Cricetulus griseus: one gene and its partner. The protein of the gene in region 2 interacts with the protein of the main gene of each other region in a biochemical or structural test. Links are inferred from orthologs where the notes say so. Each region holds a gene or a part of one and is shown on either strand. Other genes may lie near its edges.

Region 1 (4,629 bases), on a different chromosome or scaffold from region 2:
CACCCCGGGGCGGGAGGCGCGCAGGCCGGAGGTCAGGGGATGGCGGGCGTAGAGCGCCGCCACGTGCCCCGGCGCAGCCCCGCCGCCTGTGACTCAGCCACGCGGCTGTCGAAGAACCTGGGCTCGGGGGGCGTGGGAAGCCGAGGTTTTGGGGGTGGACAACAGGGCTCCAGAGACACAGCGAACCAAGTCCTTTCACGGGGGGGGGTCGACAAACCCTGGCGCCCCTCCTCAGAGGGACCGGAAGCGGCCGAGCCCCTCGGCGGCAAGGGTCCCGAGTGACGCACTGACTCCCGCCAGCCACACCGGCTTGCGGTCCTGTCCGCTCCCCGACCCCCCGCCCCACCCCACCCCACCCCACCCCACCCGACCAGCGCTGGGCGGCTAGTGAGCTGAACGCACACAGTACTTGGCAAAAGTTTTACGGGTTTTGGGGAAGAAAAGGCCAATGGGCGCAAAGTAGAAGGGACTTTTCTCCCTTTCTTGTAAAAGTTGCCATCCTGGGTACTTTCGTATTCTTCCGCCTTAAAAAGAGTCCCGCCTGTGTCACCCGGCTGGCGCCCCAGTTCAGTGACCTCCGTGGAGAGGGTTCAGGAGTAGGGCGAGGCTCTGAGCTGGAGCGGATCCAGCGGAGGAGTGATTCCCCTGGAATATAGGGATGCACTCGAATAAGCCCCATGTGCGTCCCCGGCAAACGGTTGGGACAGGTGCCCTGGTTGGGGGGGGGGGGCTTTATCACTGAGACTGACCAGAGTTATATCAAATCTAGTTTTGCTCCCTTTTCGTCTAAATAAAAACTAAGAAGCGGAGAGGGCAGCAGCGCGGCACCCAGGGCCGCTGCCCGCTCCGCCTGGTGGGGACGCGCCTTCCACCCGAGGAAGAGAAGGTCCACATCGGTGGCGGCCGCCGCGCGCTCGCGCAGCCAGCCAGCCGCTAGCCCCAACCGCCCCACGCGCCGTCCCCTCGCCGCCCCGGCGCAGGCGCGGGCGCACGCGCCGCCGCCGCGCCGCGCCCGCCGTTCCTGCCCTCCCGCGGAGGTGTGTGTGTGTGTCTGTGAGGGAATCATTCGTTTTAACCCTGGGTTCCCCGCACCCACTTTTAATTTGCTCAACCTCGCTAATTCCCCTTTTTTCTCTCCCGACTTCCCCCTTTTATGCCGAAGGGGTTTGCATTCAGTATGAACCGGAGCGAACCCCAACCTTAACCTCGCTCCTGCCACCACCACCGCCACCACCACTCCAGCACGGCTTTCCACCGAACTCGGCACATTTTGCAAAAAGGGGGGGGTGGGGAGGGCTTCTTAAAATTGCATTTGCAAAAGTTCGCTATCTGGCCAGGCGGGGGGAGGGCGGGGGGCGGAGGGAGGGAATGGGGAGCAGGCCCCGCCCCGCCGCCCTTTGCAAATAAAAATCTAGGGGGGGGGGAGGAGCAGGAAGTGGCGGTGCGAGGGCTGCTGCACAGCTAACAGAGCCGCGTTCCGGACGGCAGCGCGTGCCCCGAGCTCTCTGCCTCCCCCCGCCCGCCAGCCCGAGCCCAGCCCGCGGCCCCAGCAGCAGCCCGCAGAGCAGCCCCAGCAGCAGCGCCATGGCCGGGTGGAACGCCTACATCGACAGCCTCATGGCGGACGGGACCTGTCAGGACGCGGCCATCGTAGGCTACAAGGACTCGCCCTCCGTCTGGGCCGCCGTCCCCGGGAAGACCTTCGTTAGCATTACGGTACTGCGAGGCTTGTGCGGTCCGGGGCATCGGCCGGGCTCAGACCCTCAGGGAGAGACTTGGGTGGGGGCGGGCGCAGTCTAGCGAGGGCAGCGAGAGGGCCGCGATCTGGTCCTCGGTCTGGAAGCCGCGCGAATGGCGGCTGCATGAATCTAGGTCCCCGTGTCGCCCCCCAAGCCCTACGCCCCTCGGCGGCGGCGCCCATCCCGCCCGCCACCCCGCTTTCTGCGACGGGGCGTTACATCCGGGGCACAGGGCGGGGAGGGGCGCGCCGCCCGGTGCGGCGGCCCACTTCCGCCTCCTCCAGGGCGGGGCAGGCACGCGCTGCAATTTTAGCCTGGGATTATGATTGATAAGGGGGCTTGGGCAGCCTCGGCTCCCCTTTGGGCCGTCTGCTCGCGCTCCCTTGACCATTGTTTCCCTTATGCTGGTGGGAGCTCCAGGCGCGTGGCCTTGGGCCCTTGCCCGACCTCCCTCCGTGAGCTCCCTGCCCCTCCCAACTCCGTTAGAGAGGGCGAGGCCGCCACACACTCACACACACACCCCCAATTCTGCACGTTAGCCTCAACATTCCTGTGAGGCCGATCCCGGAAGTCCCCTCACCCTCCCTTCCCGCCATCCGGCCGGGCCTGGAGTAGGGGAACTTTGTGAGAAGTTCTGAGATGGTAAAAGTGAAGGAGTAAGGTTGCAGCTGTCCCCACCACCACCTTCCCTGGCCACACTGCCCGGAAGTGGGGAGGGGGAGCGGAAGTTCGAATGGGGGGGAAGGGGATTTCCGGGCGGGAGGGTACCGGATATAGGGGTTTGGGGTTTAAGGGGGGAGAAGGAGAAAGGTTCCCCGGGATGTCTAGACTCAAGACAGCCTAATCCTCCAACCCTTAAAACTTTTTCAACTGTCTTAGAAAGCTTCCAGGGGTCGGCTTCCTCATCTTGGGGTGTAGATACCTGGACCTAAACTCTTGGTTACCGGGAGACCCAGGCGTCCGGGCTCCTAACAACGCCTGCAGAACCTTTGACCAAATAAGGACAAAGTTGCTTCTCCTCCTTCCCTGCCCCCTCCCTCACCCTCTCCGCTTCTGCTTTTCCTGAAGGGACTGTTCTGAGCATCCAGATGCTCCTCTCCTGGATCAATGATTGGTTTTTGGTACCCAGGTTTTTCTCCTTTGCTTTCCTATTTCACATCAAGATCTGAGTCTTCAGAGAAATCCTCCTTCCGTGGTCCCATTATCAGGCCTTAGGATCACGATCTTTCTCTGCTCCAACCCCCCCCCCCCAAGTTTTGATGGTGTGTGTGAAGCACATTGATCCCCCAACTCCAGGATAAATAAGTGGGTTCTTGGAAAACAAGTTAGACGGTGCGCTAACTTAATAAGGTGATTGATTCTGATTCTTCTAGCCAGCTGAGGTTGGTGTCCTGGTAGGCAAAGACCGGTCAAGTTTTTTCGTGAATGGGCTGACACTCGGGGGCCAGAAATGTTCTGTGATCCGGGACTCACTGCTGCAGGATGGGGAATTTACAATGGATCTTCGTACCAAGAGCACCGGAGGAGCCCCCACCTTCAATGTTACTGTCACCATGACTGCCAAAAGTGAGTTTCTCAGTTTGACCGGTTCTCTAGTTTTGAACTCCCTGATGTATCTCCTTTTGTTAGTCATTTGGGGTGAAGATTGCAAAACAGTATTATACTTGCAGTCTGCTGGATATGGGAACCTTGGAGAGTCCTTTGGGTTCTGCTGAAGATTCCCCATCTTGTAAAGAAACTAAATTACATTACTTCCTAAATCCCTTCCTGCCTTAAGCTTTTTTGAGATTAGTTTGCTTGGTGTGGATGGTTGAGATCTTAAGTCAGCATTTGGCTCCAGCCTTGAGTTCTGTAAAAGCGAGGTAGAAAGCTCATCCACAGTGGTTCCTAGCCACAGCAGTCTGCAGCCTGTGACCTCTAAATTTTGCCTTTACTTTGCTAGTTCTTTTTTTTTTTTTTTCTCCCCCTCCTTTGAAAAGCTCTATTGTTTTAGGGTGACTGACAGCCTGTCTGTGGGGGGGGGGAGCTGGTTGGGAGGAATGAGGTTAGGTTACAGCCCCTAGGGTTGGACAGCTGCTGAACAGCTGGCAGGGTTGAATTGACACCTGGGTTCTAGCCTCCTTTCTCTTTCCTCCAGCGCTAGTCCTGCTGATGGGCAAAGAAGGTGTCCACGGTGGTTTGATCAACAAGAAATGTTATGAAATGGCCTCCCACCTGCGGCGTTCCCAGTACTGACCTCATCTGTCCCCTCCCCCACCACCCCTTCAGCTTTTGCACCCCTTCTTTCCATACACACACACACACACACCATTATTTTTTGGGCCATTACCCCATTTCCCTTATTGCTGCCAAAACCACATGGGCTGGGGGCTGGGGCTGGACAGACAGATACCTCCCCTTACCCATACCCCCTCCTGTGTGTGTTTGGAAAAAAAATTTGTTTTTGGGTTTTTTTTTTTTTCTTTTTTTCTGAATAAAAAAGATTCTACTAACAAGGTCCTGTGTGGTTTGCACTTGGGGTATTAGAGGACAGACACTGTGGCCCATCTCCACTGAGATTAGCTATTTGTTTTGGCTGTGTCCAGACTGAACTTTTCGTGTTGCTTTGCATTTTTCTGCTTTTTAGCCCCAGGGTCTAAGTAAGCATTCTTCCATGTACCCAGTCTGGTGGCCTAGGCTCCTCTAGAGTGGTGTTTCCATTTCTGTCCCAGTTGAATTTATGTGTAATGGAACACAGCCATCCAGACTAGAGAATGGGTCCAGCCTGAGGGTGAGGCAGGGCCTTTGAGTCATCCTGTGTAGGTGGGGCTCCCCCTCCCTGAGTCATAGCAGATGCAGCTGGGGCTGTCCCCCTGACAAGTTCGTCTCATGAGGTGATTCCTTTTCACCT
Region 2 (4,939 bases):
CTTCCTTTATCAACCTGTTAATATTATTAAGGTATTGCTGATTCTATGAAGCTTTCATTTATCTACTCTCCCATCCATCTCCCTGAGTTCCCATCCTTTTATAACAGGTTTTCAGACATCTGTATATATTCCTAACCAACACGCTCACTCCATCTGACAGCACTCTAACAGGTAGGAAAAGCAAATACAGAACAGGAGAGTGAAGGGGCTTAGCCAAGCTCTGAGCTTACACACCCACATCTCCTGACTACAGACCTAGAATCCTGCTTGTGACAGGCGCCTCTTGCATATTTATTTCTTAAGTACTGACTTATTCATCAGTTTATTTGTTGTTTCCTTCATCAGACACTAAACTCCCCGAGGGCAAGCATCAATCTTGACTTTTGACCTCAACGTTCAGTTACTCAATACATGTTTATTTGATGAAACAAGGGATGAAGAACTTGCTTAAAATCCGGCACCGTATAACTAGTTTCATGCCTTGACTTCATAGACTGAGCTCTGAATGTATCAGTTTACTACATTTGATCTGACCTGTAACTCTACTGCTTGATTTATGAGACAATGCATTTCACTGTTGTTTTAAACAAAAAAAAGGGAGCCTAAGTCTATAAAAATTATTCCAAAACATTGAGTTTACATTGCTCTCGATTGAACCAAAATCTCCAAAGTTTAATTTTCACAATTTCATCTTACAAGAGAAGGCAACAACAATGTGGTTTTAAATTACAACAATTCAAAAGGTAAAGTTGATTAATAATATATGACGTAAAGAAATTCATCGCTGACTGCTTGCAACCAATTCAGCAACCTACTTATGCTTACAGTGAGCCATGCTATCTTTGTCTATCAAAATACACTCCCACGTCTGTCATTTCCTTGAAACCCTGGGTAAACACTACAGTTAAGCTCTGAGCAATGAGTACACTAGGCACATACATGCAATGTCCTCCATGCCTGGAATTCATGGGTCTGGTATGTGAACACAGAAAGCTCCTTAACTTTTGGTAGATTGTACACTAAATGTAATAAACCAACAAAGTTGGCCCTGTTTGCAGGCAGCTCATTAAAAAAAAAAAAAAAAAGCTGGAGACTTTCCCAAACTGAAAATATGCAAAACATTGTTTTTAGAAACTCACATTTTAATGATATCCATTCTATGTAAAAATGAAGTAGTTATTCCCTTAACACCACTTTGACAACCAAATTATTAAGGGGGAAAAATCCTCAAGAAACAACATGCTGTAGTGGAAAGTACAAAGGGACTAGACATAGAGTTCCAGTTACATTCCTAAATTACTGTGACTTGGGGCCAAGGGCTCCACTTTCTCTTTTGTTTAAAATACTATATACCAGGAAGGACTTCTTTCATTTTTAAAGTTGTCTCCCCAGCTTTCTTTCTTTCTTTCTTGAAACTGTTTACTACTTCTGGTTGTAGACTTGGTGTTCTTTAAAGTCTAAATTTTTGAACAAGAAATACATCTTAAGTCCAGAAGTAGATATAAAAAGTAAGCTCATAAAGTTAACAATTAAGCTGGTAACTTTCCAGAAACTGTCTACTCTTAACTTCTTAAGCAGGTGTAGTCTGGTTTGACATATCTAACATTGCTAAGGAAAAATATAAAATGGTCCTACTCAGCTGAAACTTCTCAGCGTGTTTCCTGGGTTCCAGGGGCACACACTCGGCGGGTGTTAGCAAGAGACTAGTCAGTATTTTAACAATCCCCCTTTCAACTCAAGAGTCACCTCAGTAAGACCAAGATAAGGCCTTCACCAGGGAGAGCCTTCCAGCCCCAGAAGCGAGTCGTGAATGCCTCCGTCAACAACAGGCATTCCCCCTTCCCACAGAACTACTCGCTCCCAATCCGCCATCTGGGGTTGGGATTGGCCCCACAGGACCAAACTCAGAATCACTTTTGACTCCAATGGCCAGGAACTAGTAGAAACTGCGGCGTCTCTATGCATGGCTGCGGTGAGAGCAGCACTCTCTCTTACCAATGCAAGGAAGAAAAAAAAAAAAAAGAACAAAAAACCAAAATAAAACAAAAAACAGTGGGGCGGAGTGCAGAAACTAGGCCTAGGCGCAAACGCTGGGGAAATAAGCCCTGCTTCTTTGCAGTGGGGTGCAGGCGCATTTCCTGCCCCTTCCTCGCTCTGAGCCGGTGTCCGGGAACCTGCACTCCACTTTACCCTTCTCACGGAATCCTAAAGGGGGGATCGATAAAGCCGATGCGCGCTTCTCCCCTCCTCCCCGCATCTATTCACTCCTAAAGCCCCGAGCATTGTTAACGAAGACAGCCCAGATCCACAAGTAGGAAGTAAAGCAAGGCTGGGCTCCCGTTGGGAGATGAAGCTACTGATGCACCCAGAAAAATTCCCTTGTGGTCTAGAGTAAAGTTTGAACCTGCAGCAAGGGCGCGGACCCCGACTTGGACTTCTGGGCAGGCCCGCAGAGGTGACACTCCCTGGTTCTCCAGTAGCTCAGGGAGGCGGCTCCCGGCCGGGCAGGGCCGGGCAGGGCGGCCTGCACCCGGGGCAGCACCCGGGCCCGGGCGAGCGAGCTGGAGGCCTGGCCCGCGGCGGGACCCCGGCCGCGCGCGCCCGCCCGCCCCCTTCTCCCTCCTAACTCTCTAGTGCCCCGGCCCGAGCCCGCCCGGGGACGCGGTGGGTGGCGACAGGGGTCTCGCTCGGCTCACTGACCACACATTTCTTGCCGAGGAAGGAGAAGAGCGACTCGTTCTCCTGCGGGGTGAGCAGCAGGGAGCCCACGTTGGTGACTCTCCGCGGAGGCTGCTGGCCCGAGCTCATGGTGTCGCCGGCGGGGTGCCGCGTCCAGGGCTGTCTCCTCAGGAGGTGGGCGAGCACTCACTCACTCGGTCCCGCTCGGGGTGACAGGGGCGCGGGGCCGGCGCTCACAGGCGGCGCAGCATCCCGCCGCTCCTCCGCTGCGCGGAGGCCGAGGGAAGGAAGGAAGGAAGGAGCCGACGGCGGGCGAGCGCGCGCGGACTGCGTGCCGACAGGGAAGCTCCCGGCTCCCGCCCGGCTCGCCTCGGGCCGGATGGTCGTCGTCCTCGCACTCCGCGGCGCGGCGGCGGCGGCGGCGGCTAACGCGGCGACTCCTCCTCCTCTGCGGCGGCGGCGCGGCGGCGGCTGCCGCACAATCCAACATGGCAGCGGGGGCGGGCGAGACCACGGGACGCGGGACGCGGGGGAGCGCGCCGGAAACGCGGCGCGGCCGGACACCCCTCCTCTCGCTTGCTGGTAGCCGGGGCGTGGCCGCGCAGGCCCCACCCCCTTCCGGGAGCCAGCGGAGGCCCGCGCACCCGCTCAGCCCGGACCGGGGCCGCCTCGCGCGTGCGCAGAGTCGGACCGAGGCGGGGCTGCAGAGTCCGGCGGCGCACCGCCTTACCGCAGCGCGCACCGGGCCGCGCGTCCTCCCGCCCCAGTGGTGGCCAGGGTTTGACATTTAGCGAAGTGGGACTCTCAGGCCTCCTGGCAGGTCTAGATTAGCTGCAAAGGTCGGCCAGCGTGGTTGCGGGCGGAGCCTCCATCAGGTGCCCCCCGGTTCTCGAACTCACGACAGGCTGCCACTGGGGGCGGGGCGGGGGCGGAGGAACAGACCTTTGCCAGGATCAGGGGAGGCGTCTTCATAGATGTCAAAATCGGACCCGCTTTCAAAAGACGTCCACCACCCCACCCCCCCCGCCTGGCGGATCTCGTGGGATAAGTGTGTGTAGTATTTACACTCGAATTTTCCGACGAGCCCCGAATGCCACTTTTTTTTTTTTTTTTCTTATCTTGTGAATTGGAAACTAACCCTCTCTCCATCGTCCTCAGTCTCGAATTCCTGTACAGGATTATGCCTTACCTGTTTTATCCTTTCGAGTTAATTTTTCTAGTTGCTGGGACCTAGGCCTGGGGTGCACTCAGCCAACTGATCTACATTCCCAGCACAAGTCAATACGGAGAATTCTTCATGACTGTGTTTCAGAATATCAGAAGTTATTATAAAATAATACGGTTGAATGGAAAACTAAAAAAAAAAAAACAGTATTTAAAAACTTGGGCGTATAGAAATGATAAATCAGATTGCATCGAGTTATATAAAATGTACATTTCACCATTCTTCACATTAAGGATAATTAAGGATACACTTTATCACATAAATTGTACTAACGATGTTCTCCAATCATTCAGTTTCAATTAAACACTTGCATATTAAAATTTTATGACATGATAACTCTCAATGCATTGGTAAACCATTACCAAAAGTAATGAAAATATAAAAGTTTTCAGGCTGCCTACAATCCCCATAGTGAAATTAGGTGACCAGGAAGAAGTCTACAAAGGAAGATGAGATCTTACACTCTTAGGAGTACTCACATAATATGTAGATATTTCAAATTAAACAAATCATAATTTTAAGGGGACAATCTTTAAAAGTGGCAAAGACAAAAAAAGTGGCGAAGACTATAAGATAATTAGGCTTTAAAAAGGCACAAGTAGAGGTGCAAACCACTTTATGTCAGTTTATGTTTTATTAAAAATACACCTCTTATTAACTCAAAGCACAGTGACAACTGAGATCATCAGAAATTCTTGGGACATGATTCAGCCGTGATGTGAATTTTAGTATCCAAAAACATAGGCTGCAGTTGGTTCAAGGCTAAAGTTCCTGTTAGATCTTTTCTGTCTCACTTTCTTCATCTGTAAAATGAAATTGCTCTTTCATAATGTTAATATAGTAGAAGTTGGGACAGTAACACCTACTTTAGAACTGTAAAGTAAGATAACCTGATACTCAGTGGTCACTCAAATCCTGCCTGTCATTTGCCATCATTGCTTATGATCTGTTAATTGGTTCTTTGAGTAGAGCAGTGGTTCTCAACCTGAGGGTCCTGGCCCCCACAGGTATCAGATATTTACATTATGATTCATG

What was found. The genes of interacting proteins can lie anywhere in the genome.
Region 1: the proteins of Wasl (region 2) and Pfn1 form a complex in vitro, tested with the Homo sapiens proteins (2 studies listed by BioGRID). The link is inferred for Cricetulus griseus from reciprocal best matches to the Homo sapiens genes WASL and PFN1.

Annotation. Positions count from the first base shown.
Region 1 is NC_048600.1:84,463,714-84,468,342, reverse strand, and holds Pfn1 (profilin-1), read left to right. Parts: upstream 1-1,433; 5' UTR 1,434-1,584; coding exon 1,585-1,716; intron 1,717-3,112; coding exon 3,113-3,305; intron 3,306-3,876; coding exon 3,877-3,974; 3' UTR 3,975-4,223; downstream 4,224-4,629. UniProt on the Homo sapiens protein: Binds to actin and affects the structure of the cytoskeleton. At high concentrations, profilin prevents the polymerization of actin, whereas it enhances it at low concentrations. By binding to PIP2, it inhibits the formation of IP3 and DG.
Region 2 is NW_023276806.1:202,726,554-202,731,492, reverse strand, and holds the start of Wasl (neural Wiskott-Aldrich syndrome protein), read right to left. Parts: upstream 3,012-4,939; 5' UTR 2,809-3,011; coding exon 2,701-2,808; intron 1-2,700. UniProt on the Homo sapiens protein: Regulates actin polymerization by stimulating the actin-nucleating activity of the Arp2/3 complex. Involved in various processes, such as mitosis and cytokinesis, via its role in the regulation of actin polymerization.